Linked DNA regions of Ovis aries. The protein of the gene in region 1 purifies or fractionates together with the protein of each later gene. This does not show direct contact. Links are inferred from orthologs where the notes say so. Each region holds a gene or a part of one and is shown in the gene's direction. Other genes may lie near its edges. The genes, in order: MIOS, DEPDC5 and SESN2.

Evidence for each region.
Region 2: the proteins of MIOS (region 1) and DEPDC5 purify together in Homo sapiens (affinity purification with western blotting; 3 studies listed by BioGRID and IntAct, with this or other methods). This does not show direct contact. The link is inferred for Ovis aries from reciprocal best matches to the Homo sapiens genes MIOS and DEPDC5.
Region 3: the proteins of MIOS (region 1) and SESN2 purify together in Homo sapiens (affinity purification with western blotting; 5 studies listed by BioGRID and IntAct, with this or other methods). This does not show direct contact. The link is inferred for Ovis aries from reciprocal best matches to the Homo sapiens genes MIOS and SESN2.

What each region holds. Positions count from the first base shown.
Region 1 is NC_056057.1:16,418,965-16,422,616, forward strand, and holds part of MIOS (GATOR complex protein MIOS), read left to right. Parts: intron 1-1,384; coding exon 1,385-1,589; intron 1,590-3,652. UniProt on the Homo sapiens protein: As a component of the GATOR2 complex, functions as an activator of the amino acid-sensing branch of the mTORC1 signaling pathway. The GATOR2 complex indirectly activates mTORC1 through the inhibition of the GATOR1 subcomplex.
Region 2 is NC_056070.1:70,308,715-70,312,366, forward strand, and holds part of DEPDC5 (GATOR1 complex protein DEPDC5), read left to right. Parts: intron 1-1,181; coding exon 1,182-1,267; intron 1,268-2,342; coding exon 2,343-2,426; intron 2,427-3,425; coding exon 3,426-3,475; intron 3,476-3,652. UniProt on the Homo sapiens protein: As a component of the GATOR1 complex functions as an inhibitor of the amino acid-sensing branch of the mTORC1 pathway.
Region 3 is NC_056055.1:238,843,859-238,847,510, reverse strand, and holds part of SESN2 (sestrin-2), read left to right. Parts: intron 1-228; coding exon 229-419; intron 420-1,850; coding exon 1,851-1,995; intron 1,996-2,587; coding exon 2,588-2,674; 3' UTR 2,675-3,652. UniProt on the Homo sapiens protein: Functions as an intracellular leucine sensor that negatively regulates the mTORC1 signaling pathway through the GATOR complex. In absence of leucine, binds the GATOR subcomplex GATOR2 and prevents mTORC1 signaling.

The sequences.
Region 1 (3,652 bases):
AGAGAATCAAATTGTAACATGCGCCTAATAGCCCAGCCAAAAAAAAGAAGTGTTTACAGCATGTTATATAGGGTCAATTGAGGGTTCAGTTTAATAAATCGCTATTAATAAACTCGTTCTTTTGCTCATGTTGAGTTCCCATTGATGTCTTTGTCTAACCAGACTCTGCTTTGTGTTTAGTTTTCATGTTTTTTTGATCCTACACTTTCTAACAGTCCTCTCAGTGTCTTGCACTTTAATCTAACACAGAACAAACCACAGCAGGCCTAGAGGATCTTAGGCAAACCCAACTCAGTCCTAAGACTGTCTGAGTGAGGCTTTCTGGTCTATTCCAAGACCTTTCAAATTTTAACTACTGTATGTTCTTACACTTTGCACTTGGGTATTGTGTTTTTCTGCACTATTATATGTAATAAGGCAGGATTTGTTTAATAGTACATAAATATATATCTATATGTCTAATTACACATAGAAATTTATTTTTCAAGCAGTAGTTTAAAAAACATGAAATAAGCACTATTTAAAATAAACAAGAATTTACTGTAACACTGTCTTGTTATAACCTAAAAGACTCTTGAAAATACTCTAAAACTGAATTAACTTTGCTGTGCACTTAAAATTATATACTATTGTAGATCGACTGTACTTTGACTTAAAAAAAGCAGCATGAGATCAATTGTTACATAAGCACTTGACATGAGATCACTGTATCTGATTCCAAGTATTAAATCTCATTAGCAGTCAGGTATATCCTCGATGTGAGCACTGGATGGTGCTGTCTTCCTGTTTTAGAAAGTTGAGAAATTACTGTTTGTATTAAAACACCCTGAATATTAATAAAGTAGTGTTACATGATATTTGCTACTACTCTGTATTATACGTGTTTGAGAGTCTAGGAGTTTAAAGGTAAAATGAACAGTTTATATTGCTATTATTCCTGAGTTTTAGCTATTTACTATTATAGGCTCCCTAACTCCTTTTTAATCTTAGAAAATGAGTATTTTCTTTAAAGGAAAATTTTATTCAGAATATTATATCATTGAAATTTGTATCAAAAGTCATTTAGGTATTTTGTTATGTCCCAGTGTAAACTCTTGTTTAGTCTTTGTTATTCCTAAAATTTAGAATCTAATCCTTCTGAGTTTTCCTGTACCTATCAGTGATGTTAGGAAGAATATAACTAAACAAAGTAACAAGAAGTATTCAAATTATGTAACCGCTAAGTAGAAGTCTTAGAACTAGCCGGCTTAGCAGATAACTTACAGTATACAATAAAATTTTAAAAATTATTGAAAGATAATTTGTTAGGACCAAACTTTAGTTATTTTAAATTTTATTCATGAAGTTTGCGTTTTATTTATTTCTCCTTTCACCTGTTTCATAGGTGTTTGTGAGCTGCAATTTTTGTGGAAAGTCCATCTCCTACAGCTGCTCCACTGTTCCCCACCAGGGCCGAGGTTTCAGCCAGTATGGTGTCAGTGGCTCACCAACGAAATCTAAAGTGACAAGTTGCCCCGGCTGTCGAAAGCCCCTCCCTCGCTGTGCACTTTGCCTCATTAATATGGGAACGCCTGTCTCCAGTTGTCCTGGTATGACGTGATTCCATGTAATAATTCAGTATACTCTTTTGAGCTGAAATTGTTTCTACATAATTGATTTAATGATGTTGTAAATAAAAGACATACCACCTTGGGTTTATATTATTTCTAAGAGCAAGCCACTTTGCTGGCTTGGCAGTTTTTGTGTTCTATAATTTATAAAATCTGTACATTGAAAGTAAACTCTCTATCCGCAGTATCTCTAACCACACATGCTTACCAGTTTAAAGTTTGTAAGAAGAGCTTAAATATTAAATAATTATATACTGTTTTCTTACCACTTTTAAATTTTATGCTTAAAAGTCACTGTGGCCTCATCAAGTAACAGATATCTTGTGTGCATAAAGAACTTTTGATCATCTCAAAGCCCTTTGACATTTTCTCTTATTTCATCTTCAAAATCTGCCTGTGAAAATATATGGGGAAAGTATTAACCTAGCATTCAGAGTCCTGTCCTTCTAAGTTTTGGTGTTGTTTCTGCTATGTCCGTCAGCTATTTTGTAAATATATGTACTTTTTTAATGGTTAAAAATACTAGAATTACTGTATACTGCTTAACGTCAACATACAGAGAACATTTTTGAGAATAGTAGATAATCGAATATAAATGTACCTAGTGGCTGGAAATATTTCAGCTATTTATATAAGTTAAAAATCATACTAAGGCAAAAATTTTAGCTAGACACACTTGAATATCTGGCATAGTGGTAAATGAATAAGGAATGAAGAACTGCGTCTGATATCAGAATGCCTGTTTCAGTTCTGGCTCTGTGACGTTTAGTCTGCGAGATTGAGAGTCACTTTAACCCACTTATAAATGGAGTGTTGGACTGGGAGATCCTCCTAGTTATGAAACTTTATAATTCTGTTCTGCAGGTTATTCTTGTAAGTAGTCTGTTTTATTGTTGCTTTAACGTCTGAAAGAGATTTGCTAGTAGTATTGTTACTGTTTTTCAGAATAGATTTTTTTTCTAAAGCATGGATTTCTTTTGTCTATCTTACGTATTTTCAGCAGGGCTGCTGCTCACGGGCTTTCTCTAGTTGCAGGGAGCAGGTGCTGCTCTCTAGTTGCGGCGCGCGGGCTTCTCCCTGTGGCGACTTCTCTTACTGCAGAGCACAGGCCCCAGGACGTGCGGCTTAGTATTGGTGGCGCATGGCCTCAGTTGCCCCGTGGCCCGTGGAGTCTTAGTTCCTGGGGCCAGGGACCGAACTCAGGTCGCTTGCATTGGCAGGTCGATTCCTAACCACTGGGCCACAGGGAAGTCCCCCCGCCCCCGCCCCATCCTTTATTTTTAACAAATGTAGTATGTAACGTTTTAGATGCATGTTAGTCTTGACTTGTTTTCATCCAGGACTTTCACTTTTTACACTGCATGTTGATCACTGTTTTTATGGCCTTGAAAGAAAGCATTAGTCCCTCAGTTGTGTTCAGCTCTTTATGATTCCATGGACTGTAGCCCGCCAGGTTCCTCTGTCCATAGAATTCCTCAGGCAAGAGGACTGGAGTGAGTTGCCGTATCCTTTTCCATCTTTCCAACCCAGGGATTGAACCCAAGTCTCCCCTATTACAGACCGATTCTTTACCATCTGAGCCACCAGGGAAGGCGTTGCTACTAATGAATAGAAAATAACAATTTGAGATAAAAATCTACTACAGTGAGAGAACAAGGAAGCAAAATATGGTGTCTAGTAAGTTCTATGTGAACTTAAATACTTAGAAATGATTGAACTTAATATGTCTTTTGGACCATAAGTCTCAGCAAATTGTAATGGCTAGAGTGCTATTGCTTTTTGCTAGGTTCTAGCTTTTCAGGTTTTTCTACTTTTGAAATAGGTAAGAAAAGATAAAAACAGTTTTCTAGAATTTGAAGAAAATTAAACCATAAAGCATTTTAAGCTCTGTTATAAAGGCTATTAATTTAATGAAAAGTCAACACCCAGGTTTATCAAGTCTTAAAACTTTCTCATATTTGCTTCAAATTTTTGTTTAAAAATTTGCTGCAGAAATAATGTCTCTATAAATTTGAATACTTGTTTAATGCACTAAGTTAAGG
Region 2 (3,652 bases), on another chromosome or scaffold:
CATAGACCGCTGATTACCCGGCACTTGTGCAAAGCACTGAACTGGAGCTGCTTGGCATCTATCTGTCTTTTTCTTCCCACCAGCTCTTGAGTGAGGGAGGAACCTTTGTCTCAGTGGGATGAGCAAGTTTGCCTGGTGTTAGCAAGTGAAGGAGCCAGAGCAGTGATTCTATCAATACTAACTCAGTCTGAATCCAAATCCTTTCTTCTAATGACTATACCATGCTGATCTAGGAACTAAAATGTTAATTGATAGCAAATAAAATAATTCCTTAAACGGCACTGAAAAGAAAAAATTTTTTTTAATCTTCTCTAAAGGATTTTGATGTCAACCACTTTTTTATGTTTTAAATTGACGGGAAAACGTGTTTTCAAACCTAGATCCTGAGTGTCCTTTTTGCTCTCACCTCAGTGCTCTTGCCTGGAGAATCCCAGAGATGGGGGAGCCTGGTGGGCTGCCGTCTGTGGGGTCGCACAGAGTCGGACACGACTGAAGCGACTTAGCAGCAGCAGCCGCATCTCCTGCTGCCTATTACGTTCTTACTTAGCAGACTTCAGGGCTCATTGGAAAGTTTGTTTCTTTCTTGACTACCATCACCACTTTTACTCCAAAAGAGAAAGGGTCTCTTTCCTCTTCTCAATTTTCACAACCCTTTGAATTTTCTTGTGTTGCTTCTTAAACTCTTTTTTCTCTCTCTCTATTTCAGTCTGTCTCTCTCTCATTTTTTAATTGCTTGGCTTCAGGTCTTACTTCACCTGAACAGCAGAGAACTCTCTAAGTTTTAAGTTCCTGAAGACAGAAAACATGTCTTGCCCTTGGTAAAGGATCAGTTGTGTTGTTTGTTGAATGTTTGGGCATTTATAGATTGTGTGTGTGTGTGTGCACACACACACGCACACACGTGCCCTCAGTTGTATCTCATTCTTTGTGACCCCATGGACTGTAGCCTGCCAGTCTCCTCTGCCTATGAATTTTCTAGGGAAGAATACTGGAGCGGGTTGCCATTTCCTTCTCCAGGCGATCTTCCCGACCCAGGGATCGAACCCACATCTCCTGATTCTCCTGAATTGGCAGGCAGATTCTTTACCACTGAGCCACCTGAGAAGCCGTTTATAGATTAGAATGTATTTGCCTGGTTTTTCAGAATGCTCTATGTGATTCAGATTTCTTCTCTGTTTCAGAAACCATCAGTGTGGACCAGACTGTGACTCAGGTGTTCCGGCTAAGACCTTATCAAGATGTGTATGTGAATGTTGTTGACCCTAAGGTGTGTCTTTGTTCTGGATTTGAATATCTTATGGGGAATGATTAATGCCCTTCCTCAACAGTAGGTCTCTAAGGAAATAATGAGTTACTTAGGGCTTGCCTGGTGGCTCAGACAGTAAAGAACCCGCCTGCAATGCAGGAGACTTGGGTTCAGTCTCTGGGTCTGGAAGATCCACTGGAGAAGGGAACGGCTACCCACTCCAGTATTCATGCCTGGAGAATTCCAGAGACAGGAGAGCCTGGTGGGCTACCGTCCATGGCGTCGCAAAGAGTGAAACACGATGGCACAACTAACACGCCAAGTGTAGTGTAGACTATTCAATGTGTGGTCCTACATAGGTCGTTTAGGTTATAGACAGAGTGTACGTTGCATTGAAAGTCCTCCTTTTTTTAAAAGCTTGTCCTATCAAGGTTCTGTACATATATGTGTGTTTGTGAAGCTAAATATAAAATTCTCTATAAAATACTAAAATTTCTTTCTGTGTTCTCATTTTACTTTGGGCAATGATGCTGTAAAATTAAGAGGTAAAAAAATTCATTGTCCAAATGACATGATCGATATTATCTAGGGAAATAAAACCCAGCTCACTGTCACATTTCTGTACCAAAATCAGGACTAAAACACTGACTGTCTACTCTGGTGTGCTTTGCACTTGACCATAGTACAGTAGCTGTCATATCTGTTGGACACGTCCCTGTCTTCAAAAGCCTTCTCAGGCAGGATAAAATTCTGTTTCTCAGGGTTCCGCTAATGAATGGGCTTCCCTTGTGGTTCATCGGGTAAAGAATCTGCCCGCAATGCAGGAGACCTGGGTTCGATCCCTGGGCTGGGAAAATCCGTGGAGAAGGGAAGGTTATGCCCTCCAGAATTCTGGCCTGGAGAATTCCATGGACTGTATAGTCCATGGGATCACAAAAGAGTCAGACACGGCTGAGCGACTTTCACTTTCACTACTGAATGGTCTTCAGTGCTTGTCTTTTTGTCAAAAAGTTTCTCTGTGGTGAATGAGCACTATCTTCCGCCTGTAAAGCATGGCAGAGTAATGCAGAAACATACATCTGATTATCCTTTTTAGGATGTGACCCTTGACCTTGTGGAATTAACCTTTAAGGATCAGTATATTGGCCGTGGGGATATGTGGCGACTAAAGAAAAGTTTGGTAAGATGTGATTTTTTTTTTGTTTTAAAGTCTGTTACTTTTTTGATTATAACATAATCCATGTCACTGGGGAGATGTCTGTCTAGTTGGAAGAAGGGTGTAAAATCATTTCCGGTTCTAGCATCACAGACAGTTATTGTAGAGATGTTGTCTGTCTCCTTCCATTCTCTTTTCATGTTTTTTTTCATGCTTTGTTCTGCTTGTTTGTTGTCACAGAGTTTTACTCTGCATTTTTTGATCTGAATGGGAAAGTATAATATGACTTTACATTTAAATGGGACTTTGATTTTCAAGTTTTCACCTGACTTCATTTGCTCTTCATATCTCCTTCTGTGGATAGGCATTTATTACCCTGAATTTATATATATGAAAACTGAGATAGAGGGGTTGAGTGAGTTCCCAAGACGAGAAAGCTAGTAAACAGTTGACACTCGGCTGGAACCGAGATCTTGTTGCTTCCAGGTTAGACTGCTTTTCGCTTTCCCCTCATCCCATTTTTCCTTGTTTATTTATTTTTAACTGGCATTTTCCACCGAACACGATCAGTTCATCACAATTGCGAGCTGGTGTGGAAACTTCTCCTTTTGGACTCTTTGGCAATTGTGGAACAGCAAATCCTAAGTAAAATGTCCACACTGTATATTTTTAGACAGAGATATCTTTGCTTATTTTTTATTTGGTGGGAGAAGGTTCCGTTTTCTAAAATGAGAAGTAGATGTTCTATATGTAAATATAGGTGCATATGTGAGCGTCTATGACAAGTATACAGGGGAAGCTGGCCACTTACTATCCACCCAGTCTTCACTACTGTCTGTACCTGCCAAGCCCTTCAGAACCTACTGTTATACCCGCCCCAGCAGGTTTCCCTGTGGGATAAACCTATTGCTCCCATGTTAATTGAGTATCGGGTTGTTGGAAGAGATTAGAGAGCCAGGAGACTTTCTCTGTGACCTTTCATGGCCTCGATGTGTTGTTGAATCTCTCTCTCTCTCCACCTAGGTCAGCACATGTGCCTATATCACTCAGAAGGTGGAATTTGCTGGCATCAGGTAACTACTGTGTCACTCCTGATTCATCAGCTTGTAAACAGGAGCAGGATCCAGTGCAGTAACTGTTCTACATAAGGCCTTTGAGGCGTGTGGATATCCATATAATAAAACACACAGTAGGCCCAGGAGCAGACAGATCTGTTTGCTGGGCACACTGAAAGCCCATTGGAACATCTA
Region 3 (3,652 bases), on another chromosome or scaffold:
ACCCAGCCGGGTCCTACGCTCAGGGGATCTTGACCACAGGAAGGAAGTCATCACCAAGCTGCATCCTCCTCAGCTTCTCAGGTCCAGACCAAGCAGCGGGTTAGATTTGTGGGGGTGGAGAGAGGCACTATGGAGATACCAGCTGTGCTGCAGAAGATGGCGTCTCTCTGGCCAGCCTCAGGCCCCAAGGATTCTACTCACTGACTGACCCCTTTCCACGTTTCTCAGGATTATACCTGGGAAGACCATGGCTATTCACTGATCCAGCGGCTCTACCCTGAGGGTGGACAGCTGCTGGATGAGAAGTTCCAGGCAGCCTATAGTCTCACCTATAACACCATTGCCATGCACAGTGGAGTAGATACCTCCATGCTCCGCAGGGCCATCTGGAATTACATCCACTGCGTCTTTGGCATCAGGTAAGTGAAAGTCCCCTCATCCAGGCATGGTGTACCACAAGCCCTCTATCCAAGCTCACAATTGTTTCCTTTTTCTCTTTGTCTTTCTTTCCCTTTCTTCCTGCCTATACTATTCTTCAAATCAAATATATTCCTTGGCTGATTATAAAAGATAATAGCCATCCTCAGTTCTTAAAAGGCTTTAATTCCACCCCCAGGAATAACTAGGGAGATTACACACACACACACACACACACACACACACGTATACTTACATACATACACACATATATACATATAAAGAGAGTTATGTTTGTATTTCCATTCTAAGTAGCAGTTCTTCTCTCATAATAAAGAAAAACAACAGAAATGCCCAATGGTGAAATTTGATTTTTAGTAAATTTAGAAAAAAAGAGATAAAAGAAGAAAATAAAAATCATTCATGATCCCACCTGCTCTTACTATTGTCAGGTATTGGCTTGGTCAAAGAGTTCATTTGGATTTTTCCGTCAACAACTTATGGAAAAACCTGAATGCATTTTTTGGCTAACCCAATATTTCACTGCGTGGGCTGAGCTGTGCTTTATTGGCCAATCTCCCGCTGGCCAACCTCTTTCACAAGTCTCCAATCCAGGAGAAGCCAAGGATGATGGGCATCTTAGGGTGTATATGTGGCACATCGTGGCCTCCCTTGGTGCCCAGCTTCCAGGTCCAGGCTGCTCCACTCTGCAACATGGCCCTTGCTCCTAAACCTTTGTTTACCAAATCTGCCCTCTAGTCTAAAACCGGTCTTCCTCATCCACACTGATCCGTGATGACTCACCGCCTCGCTGGACTGGGGAGGAACAGAATAGCTTCTAGACTTGTCACCAACTTGCTCTTTGACTTTGAACAAGCTGATTGCCTTCCACAGGCTTCAGTTTGCCCATCAGTAAAATGACTACCAACTCCTTTTTCCCTTTCCCTCTTCCTTCTCCAGGGTAAACATTCACACTGATCTCCTGCCCCATCTCCCATGTATGGCCTTAGCTGTAAAGTGGTGACTATGAGCGTGGAGGCAGGCAGAGCTGGGTTTGAATTCCATTCCCAGCTGTGTGACCTGGGACTTCACTTCTCTGAACCTCCATTTCATCTATAAAGTGAGACTGATGAATACAGTACACTGTATACAATAGTATTGTATCCAGTCCTGTACTGAAGTTTCGAGGATGCTGTGAATATATGTCCACATGGTCAGTGCAGCGTGCTCGGCCTCTGTGCATTCCCTTGCAAGTCCAGTGGCCTGTGATATATGACATTAGCTGCTTTTCTAAGAGGAACCAAGCTTCTAGCTGCTTCCTACCTTCTGCCTTTTCTTGCTGCTCTCTGTCCCCCTTCTGCAGAGTGGGGCTGGGGGAGAGAAGTTCTGTGGGAGCAGAGGTGTGAGTGATTCTTTCTGGGTCTTCCATCCAGATATGATGACTATGACTACGGGGAGGTGAACCAGCTCCTGGAGCGGAACCTCAAGGTCTATATCAAGACAGTGGCCTGCTATCCGGAGAAGACCACCCGAAGAATGTACAACCACTTCTGGAGGCACTTCCGCCACTCAGAGAAGGTGCGGCTCATGGGGGAGGAACAGGATGGAAGCCTGTGGAGGAGGCGAGGGCTCGGGACCATTGAGGTCCCGACCCGGGGATCCAACCTGAGTCTCTTCATGTCTCCTGCATCGGCAGGCAGGTTCTTTATCACGAGCGCCCCCTGGGAAGCCCATTTACTCACCCGTAAAATGGGTGTCCTCAGTGGCAGCCGGAAGGACCTGGGTTCATATCATAACACTGTCACTTAGGAGTTGTGTGACCTTGGGCAGGTCATTTTGCTTCTCTGAGCTTGTTATCTTGACAATAAAAATTTAAAAACTGCCTGTATTTCAAGGTCGCTGGGAGGATGAAGTGAGAAAATGAAGGTAAACCTCTGATCCCAAATAAATGCTCAGAGGTAGCTGTTGTTTTTAGCTTTGGGGGATAAAGAGGTTAGTCATGATCGGGATAAACATGCTTGAAATTCTCCCACAGTCCTTGCACCAAGTTACTCAGAGCCTTAGGAAAGGGAAGGATGAAATGGGTGGTCAGGGATGATGGCACTCTGGCAGGGAAGGGGATGGTGAGGAGTGACATCAGTTGCCAACAAGCCCTCGTCTGTGCCCCCAGGTCCACGTGAACTTGCTACTGCTGGAGGCCCGCATGCAAGCCGCCCTGCTCTATGCCCTTCGCGCCATCACCCGTTACATGACCTGACTCACGTGCAAGATCTGTGCCTGGAACAGCTGACCGTGGGGGGCATCCTTCTCGCTGCAAGGACTTCTCTGTTTGGAGACAGACCCTAATCTCTTACTGTCCCATACCCACCTACCCTGCTCTGGGGGTGGGCCTGGGGTGTGATGTGCAGCCTCCCCAGCCACACCCTCCTTCTCACTGGAATGGACAGGACCATCGCACTGACTCTGGTATCTCAGCTCTGCCCCTGGGGCGTCGGGGGCTGGAAGAGGACCATAGCGGATTCCCAGGTGCCAGCCCCTTCTAACCGCCCTTACCCTCAGAGGCCAAGGGCACAGGAAGGAAAATGGACTGAGCGTGGACTTGTGTGCCAGCAGGCGGGGGCCCAGGCAGCACAAGTACTTTGGCCTTCCTGGCCTGGGAAGTCCCTGGCTGGCCCCCAGGGAGAGGGGCAAACACCTCCAGGGACTGACACTCCAAGCAGCTTCACCTCTCCTCCAGCTCCCTCCTCCACAAGACTTCATTACCTCCCACCTGCCATTCACCCATCAATGTGAAAATCAGGGTCACAGCCGGTCTGTGCATCTGGCTCCCCAGAAGCCCGTTCTGTCCAGCAGCCCACAGACCCCTTGCTCCCTGGTCATGCCAGTCCTAGTTCAATTCCCTTGACTCCCTTTGCCCTCTTACCCTTTTCTCCACCACCTGGTGGAGTGAGGCCCCAGGAGAGAGACCAAGCACATCAAGCAAGTAGATTATCTCTAGAGTTTAAAGTCTCTGTTGGTTACTTTGCCTTCAGATGAGGAGGGAGTATTATATGATAAATTCTCTGTGTTTTGGTTTTACGTGGGTGAGGTTCTTTGCTGCCCACCCCTAGAGCCTCAGGCAGTGTCTGAGGGCAGGAGTGTTTCCCCAGAGCTGACCTACCTGGCAGAGGCTGGCACCCCATGCTGTCTCATCTCCCTTGGCCCTGCCACAGACATTTGCCAAAAAAGTGAGCCT